Linked DNA regions of Daphnia pulex. The main gene of each other region encodes a partner of the protein of the gene in region 4 in a complex. Links are inferred from orthologs where the notes say so. Each region holds a gene or a part of one and is shown on either strand. Other genes may lie near its edges.

The links.
Region 1: pre-mRNA-splicing factor ATP-dependent RNA helicase DHX16-like (region 4) and cysteine-rich PDZ-binding protein-like share a complex: the UniProt entries of both Homo sapiens proteins name them as parts of the minor spliceosome. The link is inferred for Daphnia pulex from reciprocal best matches to the Homo sapiens genes DHX16 and CRIPT.
Region 2: pre-mRNA-splicing factor ATP-dependent RNA helicase DHX16-like (region 4) and serine/arginine repetitive matrix protein 1-like share a complex: the UniProt entries of both Homo sapiens proteins name them as parts of the minor spliceosome. The link is inferred for Daphnia pulex from reciprocal best matches to the Homo sapiens genes DHX16 and SRRM1.
Region 3: pre-mRNA-splicing factor ATP-dependent RNA helicase DHX16-like (region 4) and pleiotropic regulator 1-like share a complex: the UniProt entries of both Homo sapiens proteins name them as parts of the minor spliceosome. The link is inferred for Daphnia pulex from reciprocal best matches to the Homo sapiens genes DHX16 and PLRG1.
Region 5: pre-mRNA-splicing factor ATP-dependent RNA helicase DHX16-like (region 4) and puff-specific protein Bx42-like share a complex: the UniProt entries of both Homo sapiens proteins name them as parts of the minor spliceosome. The link is inferred for Daphnia pulex from reciprocal best matches to the Homo sapiens genes DHX16 and SNW1.
Region 6: pre-mRNA-splicing factor ATP-dependent RNA helicase DHX16-like (region 4) and BUD13 homolog share a complex: the UniProt entries of both Homo sapiens proteins name them as parts of the minor spliceosome. The link is inferred for Daphnia pulex from reciprocal best matches to the Homo sapiens genes DHX16 and BUD13.
Region 7: pre-mRNA-splicing factor ATP-dependent RNA helicase DHX16-like (region 4) and crooked neck-like protein 1 share a complex: the UniProt entries of both Homo sapiens proteins name them as parts of the minor spliceosome. The link is inferred for Daphnia pulex from reciprocal best matches to the Homo sapiens genes DHX16 and CRNKL1.

The regions. Positions count from the first base shown.
Region 1 is NC_060021.1:4,590,300-4,592,723, forward strand, and holds cysteine-rich PDZ-binding protein-like, read left to right. Parts: upstream 1-1,327; 5' UTR 1,328-1,447; coding exon 1,448-1,661; intron 1,662-1,735; coding exon 1,736-1,824; 3' UTR 1,825-1,924; downstream 1,925-2,424. UniProt on the Homo sapiens protein: As a component of the minor spliceosome, involved in the splicing of U12-type introns in pre-mRNAs. Involved in the cytoskeletal anchoring of DLG4 in excitatory synapses.
Region 2 is NC_060027.1:2,460,189-2,464,283, forward strand, and holds the start of serine/arginine repetitive matrix protein 1-like, read left to right. Parts: upstream 1-1,295; 5' UTR 1,296-1,444; coding exon 1,445-1,468; intron 1,469-1,627; coding exon 1,628-1,717; intron 1,718-1,802; coding exon 1,803-1,931; intron 1,932-2,244; exon of another isoform or gene 2,245-3,062; intron 3,063-3,263; coding exon 3,264-3,434; intron 3,435-3,505; coding exon 3,506-4,095. Other genes in the region: SH3 domain-containing protein Dlish-like, read right to left, coding at 31-79. UniProt on the Homo sapiens protein: Part of pre- and post-splicing multiprotein mRNP complexes. As a component of the minor spliceosome, involved in the splicing of U12-type introns in pre-mRNAs. Involved in numerous pre-mRNA processing events.
Region 3 is NC_060021.1:1,388,871-1,392,846, forward strand, and holds pleiotropic regulator 1-like, read right to left. Parts: upstream 2,649-3,976; 5' UTR 2,532-2,648; coding exon 2,523-2,531; intron 2,459-2,522; coding exon 2,352-2,458; intron 2,287-2,351; coding exon 2,144-2,286; intron 2,077-2,143; coding exon 1,957-2,076; intron 1,898-1,956; coding exon 1,713-1,897; intron 1,657-1,712; coding exon 1,507-1,656; intron 1,451-1,506; coding exon 1,256-1,450; intron 1,193-1,255; coding exon 1,074-1,192; intron 1,006-1,073; coding exon 804-1,005; intron 738-803; coding exon 546-737; 3' UTR 501-545; downstream 1-500. Other genes in the region: death-inducer obliterator 1-like, read left to right, coding at 2,983-3,106, 3,164-3,526, 3,595-3,976. UniProt on the Homo sapiens protein: Involved in pre-mRNA splicing as component of the spliceosome. Component of the PRP19-CDC5L complex that forms an integral part of the spliceosome and is required for activating pre-mRNA splicing.
Region 4 is NC_060022.1:5,692,132-5,696,197, forward strand, and holds the start of pre-mRNA-splicing factor ATP-dependent RNA helicase DHX16-like, read right to left. Parts: upstream 2,801-4,066; 5' UTR 2,651-2,800; coding exon 2,143-2,650; intron 2,084-2,142; coding exon 1,553-2,083; intron 1,469-1,552; coding exon 1,200-1,468; intron 1,137-1,199; coding exon 927-1,136; intron 866-926; coding exon 509-865; intron 450-508; coding exon 1-449. UniProt on the Homo sapiens protein: Required for pre-mRNA splicing as a component of the spliceosome. Contributes to pre-mRNA splicing after spliceosome formation and prior to the first transesterification reaction.
Region 5 is NC_060018.1:216,233-220,178, forward strand, and holds puff-specific protein Bx42-like, read left to right. Parts: upstream 1-1,146; 5' UTR 1,147-1,620; coding exon 1,621-1,637; intron 1,638-1,709; coding exon 1,710-2,330; intron 2,331-2,392; coding exon 2,393-2,591; intron 2,592-2,657; coding exon 2,658-2,974; intron 2,975-3,042; coding exon 3,043-3,321; intron 3,322-3,393; coding exon 3,394-3,595; 3' UTR 3,596-3,730; downstream 3,731-3,946. Other genes in the region: uncharacterized protein LOC124188708, read right to left, coding at 3,883-3,946. UniProt on the Homo sapiens protein: Involved in pre-mRNA splicing as component of the spliceosome. As a component of the minor spliceosome, involved in the splicing of U12-type introns in pre-mRNAs.
Region 6 is NC_060019.1:12,606,436-12,609,942, reverse strand, and holds BUD13 homolog, read right to left. Parts: upstream 2,185-3,507; 5' UTR 2,162-2,184; coding exon 2,049-2,161; intron 1,947-2,048; coding exon 554-1,946; 3' UTR 501-553; downstream 1-500. Other genes in the region: glutamate carboxypeptidase 2-like, read left to right, coding at 2,669-2,729, 2,795-2,915, 2,992-3,283, 3,347-3,469. UniProt on the Homo sapiens protein: Involved in pre-mRNA splicing as component of the activated spliceosome. As a component of the minor spliceosome, involved in the splicing of U12-type introns in pre-mRNAs.
Region 7 is NC_060026.1:11,199,262-11,203,342, forward strand, and holds the start of crooked neck-like protein 1, read right to left. Parts: upstream 2,801-4,081; 5' UTR 2,710-2,800; coding exon 2,659-2,709; exon of another isoform or gene 2,656-2,658; intron 2,600-2,655; coding exon 2,510-2,599; intron 2,448-2,509; coding exon 2,229-2,447; intron 2,167-2,228; coding exon 1,946-2,166; intron 1,882-1,945; coding exon 1,433-1,881; intron 1,373-1,432; coding exon 1,065-1,372; intron 973-1,064; coding exon 748-972; intron 685-747; coding exon 488-684; intron 418-487; coding exon 231-417; intron 155-230; coding exon 1-154. Other genes in the region: probable maleylacetoacetate isomerase 2, read right to left, coding at 3,215-3,341, 3,406-3,508, 3,605-3,809, 3,909-3,989. UniProt on the Homo sapiens protein: Involved in pre-mRNA splicing process. As a component of the minor spliceosome, involved in the splicing of U12-type introns in pre-mRNAs.

The DNA.
Region 1 (2,424 bases), on a different chromosome or scaffold from region 4:
GCGCGCTCGCCATATGTTTCCAAGCTAAAGTGTATGCTAGTTAAAAAATCATAAAAAATTGAAATTAATAAATTTTTACTTGAAACTTTTACCAACGGTAGACGACATAGTCGTCTACATTTGGACAAAGTTTCAAATTTTTCTAATGAAACTCTGATTTTTCTCGATTTTTTAAAATAGAAAAATAGAGGGAAGAGAATAGGGGAGAACAAAGGGGTCCGGCGGTTTTCCCTCTTCTATTCTTCCCCCGGGCTAGGATTTCGTCCCTGCGCCACCAAAATAAATCGGAATTGTTTTTTAAAAAATCGGGACAAATCAGAGTTTCATTAGAAAAATTTGAAACTTTGTCCAAATGTAGACGACTATGTCGTCTACCGTTGGTAAAAGTTTCAAGTAAAAATTTATTAATTTCAATTTTTTATGATTTTTTAACTAGCATACACTTTAGCTTGGAAACATATGGCGAGCGCGCCGATGTTTCCAAACTTTATGTCTAGCACTTTGGGGATAAAGTTCAATTTACTAAAATCTGAAAAAAATCATGGTGAAAGAAAATTCTTTCCTCACCAAGAAGATTTTTTAAAATTTGCTTTGCGATAACTCAAACGTGAGTTATCGCGAAAAAAGGGAGACACATTGGCCCGTAAGCCGCCGTGTTAGAAGCGCGGAAACACTCGCCGTGTTTCCAAACTTTGTGAGGGTACTGTATATAATATATTTCGTATCCACGGATATAGCTCCTCTGATTTGATCTATTACACCCCGAAGAGCCATCTCATGAAAATCATGGAAAATCAATTTTATAGCCCACGCACAAATAAAATTCCGTGACGGGCTACCGATGTGGTAGCCTTCAAGTCAACTCTCTTTATTTTTCTTTGATACCTATAATAATGTGCCATCATGTTTGTTTGCCCAGATTCAGGTTTCGGTTTTTTGCCCAGTTTTTTTTTTATGGGGGAATTGGAGACTGCGTTATTTTGACAAGATTAAAAGCGTTAATTTGTTTCAAAATTCGCGCAACCTAAACGGATACATCTCCTACATCTAGCGGTAAAGAATTAAACTCCACCGCAGGTTTTATTATAGCCGTTCTAATGTCGCAATAGTTTTTCCGTTCTAGTTTCGTTTCTAAAATATGGACGTTCTAGTGTCGGGTGGGCGTTCTAGTGACGACGACAGTGATAGTGCCACGACAGATGTCGTGGCAATAGACAGTTTCGACCGTATTGCCACGACATGATGTCGTGGCAATAGATTTAACCATCCCAGTCTTAGAAAAGGTTAAAGCCATCTCTGCTTGTCTATGTGAACTAACTGAAGTTTGCCTTATGATCGCTAGGTGGTAGTTTGCAAAAACAAAGCTTCGACTAGTCGACTCGAATCTAGCTTTGAAGTTTTTTTGTTGATTGACTAAACTAAAAACGCAGTTAAAGCCTGTAGAAAGATGGTGTGCGATAAATGTGAGAAAAAACTGGGTAAAGTTATAACTCCAGACCCATGGAAATCAGGAGCTCGAAATACCACAGAAGGTGGTGGTCGCAAGCTCAATGAAAACAAAGCTCTTACTTCTACAAAAAATCGTTTCAACCCATATACACCGAAATTTGAAGGCTGCAGAATATGTAAACAGAAAGTTCATCAAAATGGATCGTATTATTGTAAGTACCAAAGAATTTATAAGAAAAGAAGCTGAATTGAGTCTAACAAAATTACTGTAATTTGGAATTTACAGGTCAACCTTGTGCTTATAAAAAAGGAATCTGTTCGATGTGTGGAAAGAAAATTATTGACACAAAAAGCTACAAACAATCTTCCACTTGATAATCTGTTGTGTTATGTTGTGTTACAATCTTGTCTATGTCTCCTAATCTTTAAGTGAATGTGACATTGAATGGAATATATGAAATTAAGATGCTTGAAACTCTTTTCGTACTCTAGTGCTTTACTCATGTGAAGTTTGAGACCTTACAATCACTGTAATTATCTTGAGTGGTACTATATTAATTTTTGGTATTAAAATTTGTAAATTTTTCATACCTCAAGTATATGCAGAATATTACCAGTAAATTTTCTTTGTAAATTATCTTATGGCATGGCTAATGGATGGATATGTAAATTATACTCTGAACTCCATCCCTTATTTTGTCAGAGGTAATGCTTAAAAGGTTAAGGACCAAAGGTTAATCTCCTTTGAACAATTAAACTTAGACTGAGAATTGTTTTTTTTATGAGCTCAATAATCAATAAACACAGCGAATGATGTCGTTCTATGCAATTTAGCATTAGAATTAAACATGCTGTTTACATATATATACTAATTCCAGAAAATTTGCAGTACTTTTTACTTGTTGGCTAAGTCCATGCTAAGCAATAACAAACAAAAAATATTACTTGTAAGGCGTTATACGATATATTTCGAGA
Region 2 (4,095 bases), on a different chromosome or scaffold from region 4:
ACGTCTGGAAAAATTGGACAAGTTTGTTACCTTTTTTCTTCTTGCCTCGGCGTATCCTCACTGGACACAAGAAAGCCATGACTCAGGTGTGCACCAGACACTCAACACACACTAACACACGCACTATTAACTCGAAATCGATTGGTAAAATGCACTTGATTAGTTTAATTTGTTTGACACAATTAGCAGGGCAATGTCGATTGTTGTATGTTCAGTCGTCAGGTGAGAATGAGAATTGACACAGCAGCAGAAAGAGTCAGCCTGGAAGAAGGCCTGGTTTCTGCTTCTGTTCCATGGCCTCCGCCAATACCCACTGGCACTGCACACCTTGAAAAACAGTCTCTGCTGGTAGATGGGAAGAAGAAGAAGAAGAAGAAGAAGCAACAACTTTACCTCCCAATCCCCCCTCTAACCAATTCCATCCAACCAGGTTTTCTCAAATACAGTTTGTTGCCTTTATGCTCCAGGGGCTCTTTTTCTTACCTTCTTCTTCTTCTTCTTCCTTCATTCACATTCTTTCCCTCTATATGCACCTTTATTATTATATACCTTTGGGCTCTTCTTCTTCTTCTTTCGCTGCTGCTGCTGCTGCTGCTAATTTATTTCTTCCCTTTTCTTGAGGATTGGAGTTTTTTTTGTTTGGGAAGGAAGAGACGCTTTTTACCTGTGCACACCGCCGCGTCTTATAGCCTAGCGGTCACGTAAAAGGTGCGCGCATGCCAGCTCAAGCTAAAAGGGATGTAGTCAGTCAACCAACAAGAAAGCCTTTTATTTTCTTAATTCATTTTTTTTTCTTCTTTTCAACCATTTCTGTCTGTGGTTGATTTATACTTTTTGATGGTTATCTTATTACACTTAAAAAAAAAAAGCCTTTGGGGACAAAGTTGCACCGGTCGTACAGTTATTTTATAAAGGCAAAGAGAGTTCAAGGAGCTCAAGTCTACTTAATAAGCAGTGACCGTTTGCTACCTACTCGCAGGATCAAATGACAAAACAGGTTCCTTGCAATTTTGGCTTCAACTGAAAAAACGACATTTTTCTTATAGTCAAATTAACCGGTTGGACGCGCCATGATTTCGGGATACATTATTTCGCGTCGATAAATTGAGAGGAAACCTTAGATTGGCATTTTCCCGTTATTCGTCCAATTGATTTTGTCATCGAAGAAAATTAGTTATGCGTAGCGTAACCCATATTTGATATGTTTTGTCCTTTTTTTCTTTCAGAAGCGCTGGCAGGAGCTGGCGCTATGCATATGCAGCAGTCGATTTATTTTTCTAAACTGGCAATGCTGTTTCCATTTTCCTGACTGAAGGGACAAGAGGGAAGGCGATCAATTGAGTTAGGGGTCCTCCATTTAAGACTTGAGTTTAGCCCGGCTTTATTCTCCCATTTATTTTTACTTTTATAGAATTACCTCGATTTGAGGTATTTTTCTTTCACAATGACTGATGCCGGTTTCTTCAGAGTAAGTGTTAATAATTACCCAAGTTAGAACTATTATTCCCTTGAATTGTTTGCAGCATCTCGACACGCCAACTCGGTCGTAAAATTCTTGCTTCATCAGTTGTGAAATCTGTTTTGTTAACTGATGGGATGCATTGTAATATTTGAATTCTTTCAACAGGGCACCTCAACTGAGCAAGACAATAGATTTAGTGACAAAGAGAAGAAGCTTTTGAAGACTATCAAATTTGCTGAAAATGTGACTAGAAAGGTAAATTATTGATCACCTGTGCAACTTTAACAACATCAATATGAGTTACATGTTAATATTCATTAATGCATGTTAAAAAATTCAGGTGGATATGAGCAAAGTTAAGTTGGAAACCATCAAACCATGGATCACAACCAAAATTACAGAACTTATGGGAGGAATTGAAGATGACGTCCTGGTGGAATATGTTTTTAATCAGCTCGAAGCTGACAAGGTAATATCCTTTTAATCTCAGCCGTGTAGATTTATCTTATGGGAAACATTTGCCACCAAAGCTTTTCACCAATCATTCTGCTGTTTATCTTATGCAATTTTTTTAATATCAGGCTGAAATAGCCATCACATACTAAGAATGATTGAACGTCAGCTCCTTTGCATCTGGTTCTTGTTTGTAATTTGGTTTAATGTGAAAGATAAGTTATGATTTAAGTTTTCACCACCCAGATGGCTTTGATTATATTTTGTCTGTGCTCATGCTCATCTCAATATCTTGTACACTTTTGGGTCCTGTGTTATGAAGACTTAATGTGGAATTGCATCAAAGCCTTGTTGTCACCATGTCACACACACCACCTTGACATGATGGATGCAAGGATTCTTTCTCGACCGAGACCTGGTCGCATTATTTCGAGGTCTTCTCTTCGAATTGATTCACCTTTCGGCCTGTTCCGTGGACGATTCCTCTTATCGTCGGCCACGATGTCTATGGATTTGGATTTCCAACGTTTCGCAGTCGACCGATGAAGGATTCACTCCTGCGAAATGATGGAATACGGCACGTTCTAAACCATCGAGTCATGAGAGGCAATTCTGGGATCGCCTTTCGCCCAGCCAATGCAACGCCTTCTCCCCCAGTTGATAGTTAACCGCACAGTCGACAACAGGGAAAACTCCTGTGTGGTTAAGTCGGGCTCTGATCGCAGTAGGCCTACTCAGGAATCCGTGTTGAGAAGCTGAGAAGAAGAGATCCTTTCGTCTCGGCCCAAAAAGCAGGACGGTACAGTCGACAGAGATAAGACTCCTGTGCCGTTCGCTAACGTGGTCGAAGCTGCTAGATTTGCCTGATAGATGACGACAGACCATCCCATCTTTAAAAATCACCTGATCGATCGCATCGTGGTGCCGGGGTAGCCATCAGGAGTAGGACTAGTCAGATGACGACCCAATAGCTGGGCGGTACAGTCGACAGGACAACTCCTGTGCCGCTCGCTTCGTGGTCGTCTCTTTGATACCGAGTCGCCGGTGTTTTTATGACGGATGGGAAACTCGGTTCTCCCTCAACGCCCAGATTGGAAAAAAAGAAATAAGAGATTTTTTTCTGTTGTCACTCTGGTCGAGCTCTCAGGCAAGAATAACAAACCAAAACAAACTACGTAAAACAGCTTATCCTTTTAAAGAGCAAACCCCTGAAAGGTATTGCTCGCTTAATCCGCCGAGATCATACCGAAACCTAATCTATTTGTGTCCGTTTACTTAAGTATCTCTTTTCCATTTCGGTTGTTTGATTTTTCTGTTATTTGTCTTTTTTTTTTCTTAAAACCTATAGAACCCTGACCCTCGTCGCATGCAAATCAATTTAACTGGATTCCTCAACGGCAAGAATGCCAGGATTCTGATGACTGAATTGTGGGATCTTCTACTATCTGCCCAAGAATCGTCTGCTGGAATTCCGGAGGTCTTTATGGCACAGAAGAAGGAAGAAATCAAATTAAGAAAGGTATGCAACCATCGGAAATAATTCGCGGTATTAGTTTTGTTTCTATCATTTTCGTCTTTATTGGTTTGCAGGAAGAACAAGATCGAATCCAGGAAGCAATCAAAAAGGCCGACCGGGATCGGCGCGCTGACCGAGAAAAGGAACGCAACGACCGTACTGACAAACGAGCTTCCAAAGATAGAAGCCGTAGCCCCAACAAGGACAGGGTGATCAAGAAGGAAGGAGACAATCCCCGCTCTTCACCTCGTCGTGACGGCCGACGTCCTTCATTGGAGCGTCGTTCTCCTAATCGAGGCAAGGCGTCGCCACCGCCTCGTCGTCGCTCACCTGCCAGATCGCCAGCAAGGCGCTCGCCTCGTCGATCTCCACGTCGATCACCTGTTCGTCGCTCCCCAGCTCGCCGTTCTCCTGCACGCAGATCTCCCGCTCGTCGCTCGCCAGCTAGACGATCACCCGTTCGCCGCTCTCCCGCTAGGAGATCTCCAGTTCGAAGGTCCCCAGCCCGCAGATCTCCTGTTCGTCGGTCACCGGTCCGCAGGTCGCCCGTTCGAAGATCTCCCAGGCGTTCACCTGTTCGTAATCATTCTCCTCGGCGTCCTTCACCACGCCGTTCGCCCGTGAGGAAGTCACCCGTTCGACACCGGTCGGCGGAACGTCGTCG
Region 3 (3,976 bases), on a different chromosome or scaffold from region 4:
CAGGGTTCTCGGTTTCCCTTCCATTTTTCCCGCCAAAATACAGTGTTTCAAAATTTAAGACCGCGTGAAAACGTGAGCTTTGTAAATTAAATAATTAAATGTTATGCAACGAAGCAAAAGGTTTTCTTTGACTAGTCTTAACATTTTTTAACAATATTTTTTCTAACTACATTTTGGGATGAATTGAAAACCAGAAGATTTTTATGTACTCGTTCTTTACGTGTGGCATTTGGCTGCTTGTTGAAAGCTAATACGTTATCACAAACAAGGAGTGACCCTAAATTATTCTCAAGTAGGTATTCTAAATTGCTAAGAACCTCATCACTATTTGATTGCCTAAAACATTCACGCTGAAATCAGTGATTATATAATTGACAAGCTAAAGCTATCCCGACTCGGGATAGCTTGGGATTCCCGAGCTATCCATAATATAAATAATCCATAAGCGCATAATAACTCAGCACATTACTGAAGTAATAATACAAGTTTGCGCCAACAAATCGTTTAAAAATCAAGTTGTATTGTACGGTACAGGAGATGGCGAGTTAATAACGACGCCGTTTTAATAAGTCGGGCTTCCAGTTGATGGGGTGTGTCTCTTCATTAGCTTCGTCGTCCTCTTTGTAGATTTTGATAGTTTTATCTGCTTCGGCCGTTATGAGACGTGAACCACTGTGGTCAAAGGCCATGGCAAATACTCCAGCTTCACTATCCATTGAGCCTGGTTGCACGGGGGCCTTAAATTTGAATAGGAACAGTTAAAGAAACGTTCAAAACACAGTTTCAACTAAATGCATTTATACCTGTGAGCGCTGGAAATTGTATCCAGTCTTGAAATCCCAGAAGTGGAGTGATCCGTTATCAGCACCCGATACCATTACGTTGTCAGCATTGATGGCAAGGCAATTAAGAATGGCATTGTGGCCCGAAAGATTCTGAATAAACTTGCCTTCGGGGCACTTCCATTGTTTGATATTATCCGGCGAGGCGGATGCAAACATGTAGCTGCAACATAATTTTTTAAAATTAATTGTACATTCAATGTGTTGTGAAATAATGGGTTAGCTTCATACAGGTTAGGGTGCATTGCCACTGCCCGGACACTTTTCTTGTGATTCGTCAAAGTAGCCATTGATCTGCCAGCCGCCAAATCCCATAATCGAATAGTGCTGTCATGACTACTAGTAATAATCTATGGTTTCGAAAGGTAAAATTAAAATTCTGGATTATGAGTGTCGAAAACTGCTTTGAATACTTGAGGTTCGGCTGCTTGACAAACAACTGATGCTACGGTGTTGGTGTGGCCAGTTAGGGTATGAATGTTTGCTTTGGATCGCATGTCCCAAACACGGGCAGTAGAGTCACGACCACAAGTTACTAAAACGTCGATGGTTGGATGAAGGGCCATACTATAAACGGCACTCAAATGGCCGTGGTAGTGCCGGATAACCTGAAAAAGATTTTGTTAATATTTCTTACACGGTAAATTGAAATGGTGATGGCTACTTTGTTGTACTCCAAATCCCAGCATTTCACTTGTCGATCTTCACCAGCACTGAAAAGGTACGGATGTCTTGGGCTGACTTGAAGAGCACGGACGGTGCTGACATGGCCTGTAAGCGAAAGTTTCAGCCGTCCAGAGGCCAAATCCCAAATCTATAAGAATTTCAAAATGAAAAACTTGACTCTTATAAATGTAAGGAATAAATTACCTTAATAACTCTGTCAGCAGATCCTGTGCAAAACCATTCATTCGTAGGATCAACAGCTACACAGCGTACCCAACCAATATGACCACTGATAACACGACAAAGTTTCCATGGTGGATGCCACTGTGGCTTGGGCATTGTTGGGGCTTTACGGGTTATTAAAGATTGTGTATTGTTTGTGGGTCCACCTAATAAGATTCTTTTTTAGTAAATAGATGGGAAAACAATGACTGCATATTTTTCTCACCTGCAGCATAGCCTGGTATACCAACAGTTGATACATTTGCTGAAGATTGTGGCATCTGATGTCCCCCGATTGTTCCTGAAGGCATAAGAGCCAAAGCTTGGCTGGTCTCTCCATCTTGTTCTGTAAAAAAATAAACATTCCACTTAAAAATACATATTTCCAATCAATATAGGGGAAAATAAATTACCAGATTTGTTAGTTAGAGCAAGCTGTCCTCCAGGGTAATTTACCGGAAGCCCTGTTTTTTTCGCTATCTCTTGTTGTTTCCTGACCAGTTCAACTATTGGACCATACGTATCTTTAGCTTTTGATGATCGCCAGGCAGACACTCTAGATAATCAAATAGAATTGAGTTACTTAATACGTTGAAACAATGTAAAGTTATTTCAACACACGCTTTTTGATCAAGAGGAGGTAGACTACCCTCTTCTGACAGAAACATGTCGTGGGTTCTCTTCAGTGATCGAAACACTAGCGTATGCACGGAATGCTTCTGAATATCCTGTAGAGATATGAAATTTTGTAAATTAGAAATTGTTCATAATTTTTTTAATTGCAAAATTTACCTCTCCCATGATTGTTGTTATATTGTAAAAACGAAACCAAATCAAAATTTACATGAGGTTTGTACTCGATTGTTGCCGGCGTTGTCTAACGTACTGATCAAATCGCCATCTGTTAGTGACTAACAGAAGATGTAATTATTCACGCCAGATGGCTTCTATTGGAAGCGTCGCCGGCAACATGGCACATTGAAATTGATTTATATAAAAAAAACGCAAAATGGCGGCATCTAGCCATGAGTCGGCTTGGTGTTTATGTGTATTTTGATGCAATCAGGAGTTTCAAAGTTTGTCAACAAAAAAGTTTTGGGCTTGTGGTTGCCCATAGAATCGGGTGAAGTTTTTAGTGGCTTTGGTTTGAACTTTGATAGTGGGCCGTTCCGAGCTGGTCAATAAGTGACGCGTTTTGGATTACTCGTTTACTGACATTTAGATACAAGTGTGCTACAAATTCGACAACAGCATGTCGAGTACTTTTGTGGCAGATACCACAGACGATAGCTCCTCTGCTGGAAACACACTAATCATTATTGTTGATAATGACACTGGTGACATATCAGTTGATCAGGAAACACTTCAACTTCTTAGTAAGTCGTCACATTTTGGAGGGAAATCATGTTTTTATTCATTTACCTTATTTTCAGGCTCTCAAGAGAATACAACTCTAAGCGTAGTTAGAGTCAATGATGTTGCAGGTGACAGCAGTACTGATGTCAACATAACTGTAGAAGAAGATTTCAACCCAGTCTCTAGCCCTGTACTCAAGGAAAACGAGGAAGAATTGATGGAAACTGACCAGGAAATTGCTCAAGTTAATGGAAATGTCAAAGCAGGGCCAAAAATTAGTGAGCAAGTTTTAGAAACAACAGATCCACTCTTAGCTCTTGATCAGGAAGAGATCGAGAAAATTGAGCATGCATTACAAGCAGAAGCTGGGGCTTTTTTCAACAATATTCTCCCACCAGAAGCTGGTCTAGATGACCTGCTTGATCCCGAACTTACAGGAGGTTTGCCAAATAACTTTGTGTAGTAGTAGTAAGTGTATCTAGATTATATTATTGTTTTTTCTATCCAGCTCCGGATGACACTGAGGCTGTTGCGTCCATCTCACTTGACCATTGTTATTCAGCTGCGCATGGCCCGGCAATTAGTAACTCGAGAAACGCCGACAGTGCGATGAGTTCTGAAGTTGATAGTTCTGATAGCGTTTCGACGGGTATAGGTGGTGGTGGTGGATCAACGCGCCAACCTTCACCTAAGCGGCGTTCCCAACGCCAGATTGACCGGCAAGAAATGGAGCAATTAAAGAAAATCCGAGCAGAAAATGAGGAACTTCTCAAAAAGGAGAAGGAAGAGATGAATCAGATCCAACAAGTCAATACGCCTAAGAAAGAAGCCGAGGCGGAACCGGAGGAGACTCTCTTCGTAGCTATACCAGAGCCTGTTGCTGTTGCTCC
Region 4 (4,066 bases):
CCCATGTGGTTCAGGGCTCCTAGAGCGTAGAGTTGTTCCAGTGCCAAAGCCAAAGTCTCGTGCGGAGGCGGATCCAAAAAGTCGAAGTGAATCAAATCGTTGATTCCAAGTGATTTGAGAAGCAGAACGACGTTGCCTAAATTAACTCGCTGAATTTCTGGCACAGTGTTCTCTTCAAGCTCGTGCTTGTAGGCCCATGCTGTGTATAGGCGGAAACATTTGCCAGCTGCTACACGTCCAGCACGTCCAGCTCGTTGATTCGCCGACGCTTTCGAAATAGGAACGACAACAAGGGATTCCATGCCAGTTCGGGCATTATAGGAATTTTGCTTGCAAAAGCCTGGGTCAATGACGAAGATAATGTTGTCAATAGTCAAAGACGTTTCTGCGATATTCGTAGCCAGAATGCATTTCCGTGCTCCGGGAGGCGTTGGCTCGAAAATTTTTGCCTGGCAAGAGAAAATGAAAAGATATGAAAAGGATAAACTTTGAATAAGCAAAAACGAACCTGCATGTCTGACGGTAAATTTGCGTAGATAGGAAGAATAAGCAACTCTTTGATCCTGGTGCCCAATCTTCGAGTACGTTCCGTCAGACTCTCCAGTGCCGTTTCAATTTCTTCTTGACCAGTAAGAAAGACAAGAATGTCACCCGAGTCTTGTGTGACGTGAATCTGTAGAATAGTGACAACGCAAGCATCGATATAATCAGCCTCAGGAGCTTTGGTGTAAAAAATTTCGACTGGGAATCTTCGACCGGGAATCCTAAATATAGGAGCTTCGTCGAAGAAATCGGAAAACTTTTCAGCGTCCAATGTAGCACTGGAAATTAGCAGCTTCAGGTCAGGTCGAAACCGTGCAATATCCTGAAAGAATTTATAGGAAATTATTCAACAATTTAAGAGTTGTTGTGTAAGGACGGCTCACCTTGATCAGCCCAAAAAGAATATCGGTATGGAGTGTTCGCTCGTGGGCTTCGTCAATAATCATGACACTATAGCTCTGCAAATCGGGCTCAGAGAGAAATTCACGCAGCAACATACCGTCAGTCATGTACTTGATAACAGTCCTCTCTGACGTGCAATCTTCAAATCGAATGCTGTAGCCTACTTCGTTACCGAGTTTCTTGCCCATTTCCTGTAAACGGAATCGCACAAAATAAGATCCTTGTCAAGATTACAATTCTTGATTGAATTCTACCTGGGCGACACGAGCAGCAACACTCATGGCTGCAACTCGACGTGGTTGGGTACAACCGACTTTCTTGCCATCTTTACAGTATCCCGCTTCGTACAGATACTGGGGAATTTGCGTCGTTTTTCCTGATCCAGTCTCTCCTTCCACGATCAGGATCTGATGGTCTTCGACGGCTTGGAGTAAGTCTTCGCGAAACGGAAATATTGGAAGCGATTTCCTCGTATCCTGAAGAGACATTTTCTTTTTCTGGATGTCGCTTACCTCAGGTTGTTCTAATATAGTTAAAACGAAAAAAAAAGGTGGAGGGATAAGATTATTAAACATTTATTCAGAAGGTTTTAGGTGTGTTACTTTACCTTCGATACCCTTGGTTCCTGCAAGTTGGTTTGTTTGGATAAAGTCAATGGTGTCATCCAATAAGAGGTCATAATCATGAACTTTTCCCTTCTCCTGAAGACGCTGTTTTGCATCTCTGGCACCGAAATTCCACTGAGCAGTGGCCATGCGAGCATCTTCCCAAACTTTTTGTTCGGAATGAGGTTGCTTTTCACGGTCATCTATCTCGACGTACCTATCAGGCATTGCTTTGTCCCGCTTATCATCGGGCATATGGTATCGTTGAACCAATTCCAATTCTCGTGCTTTGTCATGTTCTTTCGCAAGACTGAGAATTTTTTTCTTGTATTCGCGATCCTTTCGTTCACGCTCCGTGAGTTGTTGCTCATCGAACAAGTACTCATCGTCGAAAATATCTGCTTCCAATTCATTAATCTTGTCTCCTTTTCGCTTCTCCAAATATTTTCGACGTGATTCCACTCTGAGTTTGGGAATAACGCTGGCTTTGTCTTCAGCCTCCATTTGAAGCCTCTTTGCAGCTTCAGCAAAACCTAGATAATTTAAACATTTTATTTTAATAGTTATTACAAATATTAAATAGTAAATATACCTTTTCCCACAGTAACCACATTCCTCTGTTTATCTTTATCTTTGAGTTTAAGACGTTCAGAGAACTCATCTCTTTCCTTCAAATCTTTGACTCGTTGTTTTTCATCTTCATCTTCACTGCTTGAATCAGACTTCTTCTTTTCCTTCTTGATCTTTTTATTTACTGGTGGTGGAGGTGGTGCCATTCCTTCTTCATCGCTGTCTTCTATCAGCTTATATCTCTTGTTTTTTTCGATCATTGCTAACATGGCTTGTTCTTGTTGCTTGGCGGCAATTCTTTCAACATTTACTTTAGGGGCAGCTCTCGGAATCTTTCCCCATAACTCTGATAGAAAACTCATCACTTTTGCATTTGTCACATCGATAGTGTCTGTGAAACGAACTTTTTCGATAAGTTCATTCACTGAAGAACTTTTATGAGCCAGGGATGTCAAAAACTGAGAAGTATAGCGGTCACTGAAGTCCAATATCTCGATTAACTGATCGCTAACCCACGTTTCTAAACTCATTTTTAAATGTTTATTAGAAACGAATTTGTAAACAAGGCATTAATAACGTTGAGTCCGTCTGAACTTGCCGGACAAGCAAAAAAGCTACAAGATCTTCCACGGCAAACGAAGCAGACTAACTTGTGGAGTCAAGCCTAGCGGTCAAACAACACAGTCTTCACCAGTGAACTGATACTGATCCGATTCCGTGTCGTTAAAAAACGGATTTTTTGAGGGTTGTAGAACGGATTGGTTTCCGTTCTCTTACGCTAGAGTCGCATGAAGGCAATAACGTTATGCCTACCCTCTAGCGCCTCTAGCTGATTCATAATCGGATTCGTTTCAGTTAACCGATTTTTGACAAATCAACGCGTTTTTCAAATCAGTGAGCGGACCCGTTTCCGTTCACAGATTCGTTTCAGTTTATTATCAACTTGTTTTTTATAATAAGAAGCCGAAACCTTTCCATTATTTGAACGGCTTCGTTTCCGTTTCCATATCACGTTTTTAGTAAACAAATAACTATTTGCTTATTAGAATATTAACCGATTTTAATTGTGTTATTGAAAAGCAAAACAAACAAAATGTCGTCGGACAAGAATTAAGTGATCTGTTGAGAGATGCAAAAGGAGTGAAACAGGTTTGTTGTTAAAAATTTGACAGCTTATTTGTAGCCAACGATTTGATTCTCACAGAGCTTCTAAGTTATTAACTATTGTTGAGGAAAGAATTTAAATTTCTAATCTTAATCTTGTTTAATTTCTATTCCTACAACTATTTCTTTGTCTAGCAAAAACTGAGAAAGTTAATTTCGTCAGCACAGCAGCACCCAGTGACCCAGAAGGAAGGGATTGTTTTGATATCAAAACAATTCAACCTTCCTGCAGTAAACTGAAGCCTGACAAGATTCATTTAAGAGGCTGATGGAAACAGAAATATTGTGTTAGAGACTTCTGTACCAAATCCATATGGAATTCACCTTTACAACCTGCTTGAATAAGACGTTGAACAGAAGAACCTCATCTAGTCTCGTCATCACTCTCATCTGTGTTGGTAATTTAATGATCAAATTTATAAGTGACAACACTTCTGTAACCAGATCCCTTCCCTCAGGCTGCAGAGCTAAAGTTGGAATGTCTGTTGTTCAATCTCCAACGTGAAAGACCAGTCATTGGAGATTCTTTGAATTCAGACAATGTTCGAGTCAGAACTCATAGATATCCTTTACCAGCAGCACTACTACAGATTATTGCAACGAAACAAAAGGCTGAAACAACTAAAGGGAATCTAATCGTATTTCTTTTTATCTTACTCTAATGATGCATTGTTTAAACTATTTGTGATTCTGATTCAGGTGGACCGGCCTCAGAATTATTGCTCATTGATTGGGCTGAAAGGATTGAATGGCAAGGCATACCAAGCACTTCGAATACTTTG
Region 5 (3,946 bases), on a different chromosome or scaffold from region 4:
ACCATCAGCTGCTGCGCCACAAGCACCCCGGTGCCAAATCAAGTTCCCCTTGTGCCAAGGCCTACATAGTATAGTCTGAGCGAGACAAGGCGGCCTATATCGATCGATCCGTCCAAAGAGCCTCAACCAACCCCCACCACCCAGCCAACTGTATTATCGCACAAGGGAAAAGGCGAAACTGCTATACACACACATATATAGTCTTGGATCAAATAGATGATATATATACAGAGGAAGAAGAAGACTTTGATAATGAGACGTGCTGCTGCTGCCGTTCCTTTATTTATTGGAGACCGGCATCAGCACATCTCGTATTGATTTCCTGTTGCAAAGAGAGCAGCCGTCGTCGTCGAAAAGTTCCCAAATCTTGTCCTACAACTGTCTCTCTATTATCGGATGTACTGTATGCATTGTGGATGCATTATAAAGCCCTACGCCGCAAAAGAGATTTATTGGCCCACACATTGAAAGTCGAAACGGAAGGCGGAAGAGAGACGGAGATGAGGCGAGCTCACGGTCACCGCACATCCACATTTATCATTTGTTATGGGACGAGACTCTGAACTGCCTCGCTGATTCGCATCGCTTCAAAATGAGAATCTATTCACTATAGTATATCAAACTCTTACGTTGGCATTTATGGCCACCGGATTTCAGACTGTTAAGCCAGCTATCCGTTGATAAATCAGATGGTGCAACCCTCCCAACGAGAACAGCATTTATTTTTACGACTGTGTCGTCGTCGTGGGATATATTGGCCAAAGTGAAAGTTTTTAAGGTGTTTACTTTTTTCATATGGCGATGCGCTCAGTTCCGCTCGGCGTCCAACTTGTAACACAGAGAGGGTCGATTTCATCAGCGCTCACTTTTACACGTCGGCGTTAATTGCGTTGCATCAAACGAAAAACACAGTGGGCGGCAACTCGTTATATTTTGCCTTGCCATTAGATGTTATTACAAGCAGATTGCAAGAGACGCGAAGTTCCATTAGAGTTGACAAGCGTTCGTATTTCAACTCGGGGCGGGTATGGATTACTTGACTTTCTTATTCTTTTCCACCCACTCTCGACTTTCATCTCATTACCGTAAAAAATGCCAAGAACGGCTGCGAGGAGAAGGAAAAAGGTTGTTGACTGCGCTCTTATTTTTTTATGGAACGGAGAAGAAAAACGTCGGAAGGAATATGAGAGAGAGACTGTAATAAGAAAAGGCGCGCTAACACTCTCATCTCAAGTGCGTCTATTTATTCCGCCCATCATTAAACCTTATTGGATACATCCAACGCAGAGCATACACACACACACGGCGCCACAATCTTGTAAAAAGTTTTCAGGATCGATACGACGTTTTTCCTTTTTTTATATAATTCCCATCACGTCTTGAGCGCCCCATCCCATTGATGGAGACACAATTTTATGTAAACTCTGGATAATTTAATAATATTCTTTTTTTTTTAATTTGTATCGAATAAAATGTCGATGTTGCGAAAAGCCGAAAATATCCCGCATTTTATCTCGCTCTGTTGCGAAGAAACAATCTGACAACGTTGCATCATAAATTATTCTCGAGTTACAATTTTTGTATTTGGCAACATCTTGGTTGAAAGACTCGACTGAAAACATGGCGTCGTTATCAAGGTATAATAATTATTTTTTTGATTTCCTTGTATTTAAACTATGTATTAATTATGGTCATGTTATTTTATACAGTTATCTCCCAGCGCCAACGCAGTTGACGTGGGATCGAGATGTCGAGGAGCAAAAGGAACGTGCTAATCGCCAAACGGCCATCGTGGCCGCCACAAAGGCAATCCCACCATACGGAAATCGCGATTCATGGATGCCTCGAAATGTTTCCGATTTCGGAGATGGAGGTGCTTTTCCCGAAATTCACATGGCCCAATATCCAATGGACATGGGTCGCAAAGACCAGGCTGGACAAAAGTCAAATGCCTTGGCCATCCAACTTGATGCAGAGGGAAAGATCAAATATGATGCTATTGCCAGGCAAGGCCATGGGAAGGACAAACACGTCTACTCCAAATTCACTGATCTCCTGCCTGCTGAAATTACCAATGAGGATGATCCCTCTTTGCACAAGCCCACAGACGATGAAATTGCAGATATAACAGAGAAAACGAGACAAGCCCTGGAAAGAATCACCAATGCCAAAGTAGAAGCAGCTCTTCCAGTCCGTGCCGCAGAGAGAACTGGCCCTGCTCAATTCATTCGCTACACACCAGCACAGCAGGGTGATGAATTCAATTCTGGCGCCAAACAACGCATTATCCGCATGGTTGAAGTACAAAAAGATCCCATGGAACCCCCAAGGTAAATTTTAGAAAAAGTGCCATTTCATTTCATTCCCATATTGACTGATTATTTTTCACTAGGTTCAAAATCAACCAAAAAATCCCCCGTGGTCCACCTTCTCCTCCTGCCCCCGTGTTGCATTCTCCTACACGTAAAGTAACTGTCAAGGAACAACAGGAATGGAAAATTCCGCCTTGCATTTCAAATTGGAAGAACGCTAAAGGTTACACCATTCCTCTTGACAAACGTTTGGCAGCCGATGGTCGAGGACTTCAACAGGTGCCGTCCCTAACGACCTAAAAACGTGTCTTTCCCCAATCAACTAAATGTTGTTGTTTCTCGCAGGTTCACATTAACGAGAAATTCGCGAAATTGGCCGAATCATTGTACATAGCCGATCGAAAGGCCAGAGAGTCGGTTGAACTTCGCGCCCAACTTCAAAAGAAACAAGCGCAAAAAGAAAAGGAAAAGAAGGAAGATACTCTGCGACAGCTGGCGCAGCAAGTCCGCGAAGAGAGAGCAGGTCTGCGACCCGGTGCAGGCGCTGCTGCTGCTCGTGAAGACGACGATGATGCAGCGGAGCGTGACAACTTGAGACAAGAACGGCATCGTGAGCGTCAACGTGAGCGCAACATTGCACGCGCGGCTCCCGGCGATAAAAAGTATTAAACATTTGATTTCCTTTCAACTTTTTCCAGTCAATTAATTAACAATTTCCATTGACGCGTAGATCCAAACTCGATCGCCAACGCGAGCGTGACATTAGTGAGCAGATTGCATTGGGGATGCCTGCTCGAGCTTCTGCAAGTGGCGAGACCATGTACGATCAGCGTTTACTGAACCAAACTCGTGGAATGGACAGTGGATTCGCCGATGATGAGGCCTACAATGTCTACGACAAACCTTGGCGTGAACAAGGAACTCTGTCCAGTAATCTCTATCGTCCGACCAAGAACCTCGATCAAGATTTGTACGGCGACGATTTGGATAAACTTGTCAAGACCAGCAAGTAAGTTGACCTACTTTCAAGGTGCATTGGTTTATGAAGTTGAAACTCATTTTGTTTTTCATTTGTTTACAGGTTTGTACCTGATAAGGAATTTAGCGGAACTGATCGTTCTGGTCCTTCCGGCTCCCGCAGTGGTCCAGTTCAGTTTGAGAAGGAAGAGGATCCTTTCGGCCTCGACAAGTTTTTGACGGACGTCCGCAAGGCCAGTAGCAAACGACCCACTGACGCGGAACGCTCAGACAAGGACAAGGATAAGAGACGGCGTCGAGACTAAATATTGTTTTTCTTTCCGTTGACGATTTCGCAATTTGTTTCATTTTACCTCACACAAAAAAAAATCTTTTTAAAAAAACCACAAAAACAATGATTCCTTTTCTCCAAGACCAGAATACATTTCAAATGAAATGTCTGTGACTAGTTTTATTTATTCATTGATTACGAGACAAAACACTTGATTCAATACTGTAAAGTGACGAAACATTTTGCAAGAATGTACATAATGGTAAATCGAAAATGCAGCAGAAGACTTGAATATCACCAGACAAGTGTAAGTAATAATCATCATGAAAAGAGTCCAGTGGAAAGTCCACGATAAAAACACCTAGCCTCCAGAAGCCTGTGTAGC
Region 6 (3,507 bases), on a different chromosome or scaffold from region 4:
TAGACAACACGGACAACAGGGCACACCTGAAAACGGCCGGCCCACTTCGTGCCGTGACCTTCCTCCCTTCTCTTTCGACACACTCAGCCAAAGCGCCATCTGGCCATAGCGCACTCGACACACTCAACAGAAACGACCCCAACGCCTTTTCTTTCTTTTCTTTTTCTGCTGCTGAACAACAGAAGAAAAATGATTTGAAGGCAGCCAAGGCCGGAAAGGGTGTCATCTTCCGGATAGAATTTTCCGATTCAACCACGACGGACGATTCATGAATAGCCGCACCTCCTCTACAACATGGGTTGGGCAACTTTCACGAACTGCTGGTAGAGTCGCGACTCGGAAAATGTGCAAAGTGTTGACGCCATCCGCATGGAATTTCCTCCGCGCGCCTCTCGTTGAATCTGAAAAAAACCCTGCAATTTTGAATGTTGATGGATGGGCCCCATTCCGTCGAGGTAATAAAAAGGGAAATGTTAAGAACAAGGACAGGCGTCATTGGCTACTAAAAGTAATTGCATGGCTTTATTCAGTCAAGGTAAATTCATCATCGGAATCACATGTCGGATACACTCCATTTGTAGGCTTCCTCCTGAAGGGCCACGGCGTTGTTTTGTTTTTCAAAGTACATCTTCTCGTAGCCAGTCGAGCGGTCAACCCCGTCCCATCTGTAGCCGGGTAGTATACCGAAACGATTGGGAGCAGCAGCAGGGCCCCTGTAGACAGGTCTAGCGGCTTTCCCCTTGCCGTCACCACCGCTCTTGACCTTTTTCTTGGCCATGTAAGCAGCCATGGGATCACCTTCACGATCTTGTTCGCGTAACAACCTTTCCAAATCTTCGTCATCGGCGAAACGAGCCAGCGGTTTGGACATTTCGTGAATGGCTTCGGCAACTTGCGTCGAATGCGTTTCTCCTTGTTTAAGACCCTTGTTCCATTTTTGGTAAGCTTCTTGCAGCTTGGCAATCTTCTCGGCTTTTTCTTTATCAACCTGTTGCTTGGCTTCAATTTGGCGCAGCTTGCCAGCTCGGATGGCAGTCGTGGCGTTCTGCCCAGTGAGTGATTTGTCCATTTTGCGGAAGGCTTCCTCTTCTCTCTTGCGTAATGCATCAGTCTCCTCACGCAAAGCTCTGCCAGTCTGAAGGCCGGCCATCTTTCCATCTAGGGTTTTGGTCAGTTTCTCCGAAGCTCCTCCGCTGCGTGATGTTGATTTATTAGGACGCTCAGGGCTGAGGTCTCCGTCTGGATCTGGTTTGATGCGCATTTGGGCACCGGAATCAACGTTTTTCTTCCGCCGCGGAGGACTGAGATCACCGTCAGCATTTTGATGCTTTCTTGGTGGACTCTGGTCGGAATCGGAGCCTTTACGCCTTCTTAATGGACTTTGGTCCGAGTCTGAATCGTGTCGCTTTCGTTGTGGGCTTTGATCCGAGTCTTTCCTTGTTCTTCGAGGAGGACTAGCATCTGAGTCTGAATCGTGACGTTTTCGTGGTGGGCTTTGATCAGAGTCTTTTCTCGTTCTTCTAAGTGGAGATGGATCAGAGTCTGAATCATGGCGCTTTCTTCTAGGTGGGCTGGCATCTGAATCAGAATCGTGTCTTCTACGTGGAGGACTGGGATCTGAATCTGAATCATGTCTTTCTTTCTTCACTGTGATTGGTCGTTTCAAGGCAGTGGAATCTTTCCTTGGTAAGTGACTGTCACTTGAATCAATATCTCGATCACTTGATTTAGACATGGATTTTGGTTTGTCATTTTCATCCACACCAAGTCTCTTCCACTTTGAACTTTCCACAAAGTCTTGTTTGGTTATCATTTCTATGGAACGATTATCGACAACCCCAGCCACCAGAGGAGCATCTTCTTGGTTGTCAATTTGGTCTTCATCTTTCTCGTATCCTGCAGCTATCTTCCTCAAATCTATTTCTTCATCAACGATCTTGATGCCCCTAATAAGTAAATGAAAACAAATTGACTAGATTAAGAAAAAGCTTAAGTTAAAATTAAAAAATGATGTGTATTGTCTAAAGTTCACAAAAAGCCTGACTTACCCTTTGGCTTTCAGTAAGGGCCTGAGTTTCTTTTTCTTGACTTTATTTTCTTCTTTTTTCGAAGAGGACATGTACTTTTTCAGATATTCTAATTTGCTCATAGGAGCACTCATTTTTACAATAATTTCAGGGGAATATTTACAAACCGTAATCCCTCGCGTTTGTCAACGCTTTCACACGAAATATGAATACAAGCTCCACCTATGGTTAACGCGTGAAACTATACACCATCTATCGGGAAGTTTTCAAAATAAAAAAAATTGTTTAAAAAAAATAGATTTATGTAATAGCGATTTTAAAGAAATGTATTCATTGCCTATGGCGTTTACATTTTTTACAAGAGTCACCCGTCAGTTAAGCATGCGACCTGTCTTGTGTTAAACCACAAGCAACCGATGGTCTGGTTGGCTTGTCAAATCACCTTAGTTACTGTCCAGGTATTTGCGTGCCGCTGCATATGGAACACGCAATCTCGAACCCGACTTTCTACCCGCACTTCCCGTGCTTTCATTGTCATATTTTCAGCTATTTAATAACCTGTTTCTTTTCAAACCGTCGTTATTATTTGAGGTACAGTAAACGAGAACGGAAGGGTGTGGAGAAGTGATCGCAGCGAAACGATGGCGCAAAAACCCAACTGGATTTTAATTTGCACGGCTTCTGTAATTTGTCTTATCATAGGTATCGTAATCATTTGAAATGTTACTGTATGTGTTGGTTTGACTTCATCTTTCCACCTGACAAAGGAATTCTCATCGGTCGTTACGCTATCGGAAATGATAGGGACGACGTGTCGCCTCAGAAGGCGAAAATGTCTGCCACTTTGATGGAGGAGCTCAGTGCATCAAATATTGGCGAATATCTCAAGTAAGTCCAACATCATCGCTAATCAAAAGACAAATTTGATTCATTGTCTAATTAACTCCCAAAATGATTGTCACAGATATTTGAGCAGTATACCGAATTTAGCTGGAACTCCACAGGATTTGGAAGTGGCTAGTTGGGTGCGCGATCGTTTCGTCGAGGGAGGATTAGACGAAGTCCAATTGGTTCCTTACAAGGTGCTGCTTTCCTACCCAGACATGAGCAACCCCAATCAGGTCTCGCTACTCGACTCCAACGGCAAGGTGAACTTCACCACCTCAGGACGTCAGACGCCACTCTTTTCCAGCGAAGAATTCTCTCCGTTAGTTCAACCCAATTTTAACGCTTATTCAGCTAACGGAACTGTCGAGGTGAAATTAAATTTCTATCGTTGTTTTATTGATGACACTTAACTTAATTACACCATTTCATAGGGGGAACTCATTTACGCAAATTATGGTCGGAAACAAGATTTTGAGTACTTGAAATCTCTCGGCATAGACATTCGTGGTCGAATTGTGATTGCTCGATATGGGGCGATTTTTCGTGGCAATATCGTAATCAATTATTTTTAAAAATGTATTGAATTATTACT
Region 7 (4,081 bases), on a different chromosome or scaffold from region 4:
CATTGCTTTTGGGTAGTTCCTCTTCCTGGTTTGATGGAGCGGATTCTTTTGCCATTTTCCAAGCTTTGGCCATAGCCAAGAGCTTAAGATTGGGTTTAGTAGCTTCATCCTCGGGGAAAATGTAGTCGAAATACTCTTCCCAACCAGCATCGGTCTAAAAAAAAAAAGAAAAGAAAAAAACATTGCAACGCACAAAATTTTGCATCTAAACGCAAAATATTATCACATACCCCATCTTGTGTTTGGATCCGCCTCCTCTTCTTCACACGTCTAGGCATCAAGTTAACAACCGCATTGCGAGATCCCTCATCTCCATATTCATATTCGAATTCTTGCCAAGCCTCCAACAACATCAATCGCTCCTCTTTGTTGGTAGCCACTTCAAGACCGACTGACTGAGCTATAGAACGTAGCGACCTAGTAACATAATGGGGAATTAAGAAGGTAATTTACGGAGGCTAATAGTTCAAAGCAAAGAAATGCGAACTTGTTTGCACGCTGGAAGACTGCTCTAGCTGCTGCGACTGGCAAACTTGGGTCCTCCTGCTGAGATGCTGCTAGAGTGAGCTCAAATTGAGCAAAACTCATCCAGACTTTTACGTGCTGCGTGCGTTCTAGAAGTCTCTCATATAACGATCGGGCTTTATCATTCTCCTCTTGTTCGATTTCAAAATCGATGTAAGCCTGAAGAACAAACACAACTCCATTAGGAATGAGATCTGTGCACATATTTAAAGTTTAATTTACCTTCCAAAGAATTTCTGGCATATCTAGTAGAGGCTGCTTGATGGCAAGCTCGTAAATGCCGCGAGCACGATCCACATCTCCCAGTAAAGTTTCTAGTTCGGCGAATTTCATCCAAGTGGTGCAATTTTCTGGACCGTTTTGGAGGAACTTTTCATACAATGTCCTGCAGCGGTCAAATTCTCTCAGCTGGATCTCCAAATCAATATATCCACGGAACAACTTGTTCTATAAATAACCAGATTTATTAAAAACTGGTTCATAGACTGGCCTCTAATTAGATTTCATATTTGAAAGAAAAAATACTGAAACATATTTACCTTTGGACATTTACCAATCGCAGTACCTAAAATTTTACGCGCCAATTGCAGATTTTTCTGTCGAACTTCGAAATGGGCGTAAAGGAGCCACATTTTGGCGAATGTGAAGTTACGATGCGGAATGAGCTTAAGACATGAATCGTAGACCTGTCGAGTTTTTTCATAATCTTCGGCTTCCAGTTCTTCGAAAAGTGCATAGTTAATCCACAGATAGATGTAACGACGCCAAAAGGACTTCTCAGCTACTAGCGGGATGTTGGCAATAGCTCTTTCGTATGTATCTCGCACTACTTCAACGTCAGCGTCACCTAAAGATACAATACACATTCGACACAATTCCTTAAAAATTTGATAGTAAGTCAAAATACCTTCACTTTCCATTAGGCGTAAATAATCAAACCATGCATCATAATTTGATGGATTTTCTTTAATTTCTTGTTCATACTGAAATTTTCTTTTACTGACAATAACGTCTTCTATAGCGTCACGCTCTCCAAATTTTTTCTGGTGAATTGTGTAGGCTTTGTACAATTCTGCTGCTTTATCTTTTGACATGTGTTCGAGAGCAAATTTGTAAATAGCAGTTGCTCGTTCATGTTCTTTTTGGCCCTCTTCAAACTTGGAAAAGGCTATGAAAAGCCTTTCGTCCATGTGATCATCACCATAAAAATCCACCGACCGTTCATACACCTGGCGGGCACCGATAATGTAACCGTTCCTTTCTTCAAACTTGGCATACTTGATCCAATTTTTTACTTCCGGGTGCACATAGACAAACCGTTCAAAAATTGAGCGAGCACGATCTAATTCTTTATACCTAGTTATTGGACAAAAATTGGACGTTGATAAGTGTAACGTTAGTATTTACTACATTTATTTACCTTAATTCAAAATTGATGTATGTTTGCCAAGCTTGTTCATCTGGCTGCCATTCCATCCACCTTTCAAATACTTGACGACAACCAGCTATATTGGCCAGCATTTCCTCCATGTAGGTATATTTATACCAAAACTGATTTGCTCTAGGCAAAATTGTAACTGCACGGTCCCACAAGTTTCTGGCATGATTGACTTGCTTATTTTTCATTTCCATTTCTGAATACTAAATTTTTTTAAAATTAGATATTTATTATTTCACAGATTTAACAAATGAAAATTAATTACCTTCAGCCAAAGGGTAATGTTACGATGGTCTACATCAAGAGCACGCTCAAAAACACTTCTGGCTCTTTGAATTTCTTTTTGGCTTTCTTCCCATTGAGCATACTTGATCCAGTTGGTAATAACATTACGATTACGCCGCAGAGCATCTTCAAAGGTTTTGCGTTTCTTGTACTGGTAGTCTGCTAACTCATCGGGATCTGAAATTTTTTGTTTAGGGGGCTAAAAATAGAAAATTTCTTACTTCAGTTCTTCAAGTTGTTATCTATTGCCGAAACACTTACTGGTGGAACAATTTCAAGATCACGTTCCTTAGCTTCCCGAAGCAACTGCTCAGCAGTGATTTGAATTTCTGCCGGTGTTTTGTTTTTAACCTAAAGAGAAATGTGTTATAAGTAATGTCAAGAGCATTCTTACATTTAAGTATTACAACCTTGGCAACTTTAGGAGGTTTTTGTGGTTTACCGAATCCACCCGAATCCATTTTAGATTACTTTTTAAATGAGCACTTGTAAAAAAAATAAAATAAGGTTTTAACAGATATGAGTCTATGACTGACACTTGGTACTGTAGTATTGAACTGACACGAGCAAGTGATGCTTCTTGCAGATTGCAGTTGCGCGAGCGCGACTCGTACGAACCGAACAGACGACGAATCGGACGTTGCCAGATTGATTGTTTACCAGCTTTCAACAGGTTTTTTGAAAGATTTTAACCGGATTTAGCACTTTTCAGGTTTCAGTTTTACAGGAATACTGGAATACACTCTATTTATTCTATAGTTTCAAGACATAAATATTGCAAATATCTGATAAGTGATAATGGCAAATTTTGTTTATTTTTCAGTAAATATCAAACAGCATAACAAGTTCCATTGCAATTCATTCTCCCGTATTCGCAACCCATCGACCAAATTATAATCATCGTTTAATATCGTTATTCTATGGACTGAAGTCCGACTATTTCACATCAATTTTTTTGTTTTATTTTCATGCTGAAAGTTCAGGCGGGCAATCTGGTTGTCGGCTCGGGTGAGCCTTTACGAAAGGCTCAAGAACTTCGAGATTCTTTTCCACACGAGCAATATTAGGAAACTGTGCCACGTCCACATCAAACCTTATTCAGACGAAGCGTGAGAAAAAGAGAACATGAAACGAATCATGGAAACTTTAGTCTTTACCTCCTTGCATTGTACAGTTGTGGGATAAGGCAACAATCAGCCATTGTAACATCATCTCCAACACAGTAATTTCCACTGGAAGTTTCTAATATTTTTTCTAATGCTGTAATAAAAAATTGGGTTTTTATATAAACTTTGCACATATTTCTTAGAGTTTATTAATTTTTTTATTGATATATTCATGAAGATCTTCACCTACCAGTGAGTCCTTTGAAAATCCACTTAGCAGCCCAATCTTTCTGTTTAGATTCTTCAAATTGTTTAAGTACAGCCAAATTCTGTAAGGGTTGAATCCCAGAACCAATAATTTCACATATTTCTCTCACTTTGAATCTAATCACACCATCTTTTGGCAATAAGGGTTTTAAAGGATAAGATTCTTCTAAATATTCCAAAATAGCTACCTAAATGTACAGGAGATGGAAGTAAAAATTATGCATTGAAATTTGAACTGGAAGGTCTTATATATCTATAGTGTCATATTCATATAGTGTCCCTCTTACCGACTGAGTGAAAACTTTGTCCCCAATTGTTAGTGATGGAACTTGAGCCATGGGGTTTATGATTTTATAGTCATCAGCATTCTAAATACATAGAAAAATATGCCAGCGGTATTTTAGCTATTTATATGGGTTTAACTGTGAACATTGTGATGATTTAATAATTTTAAAATTTA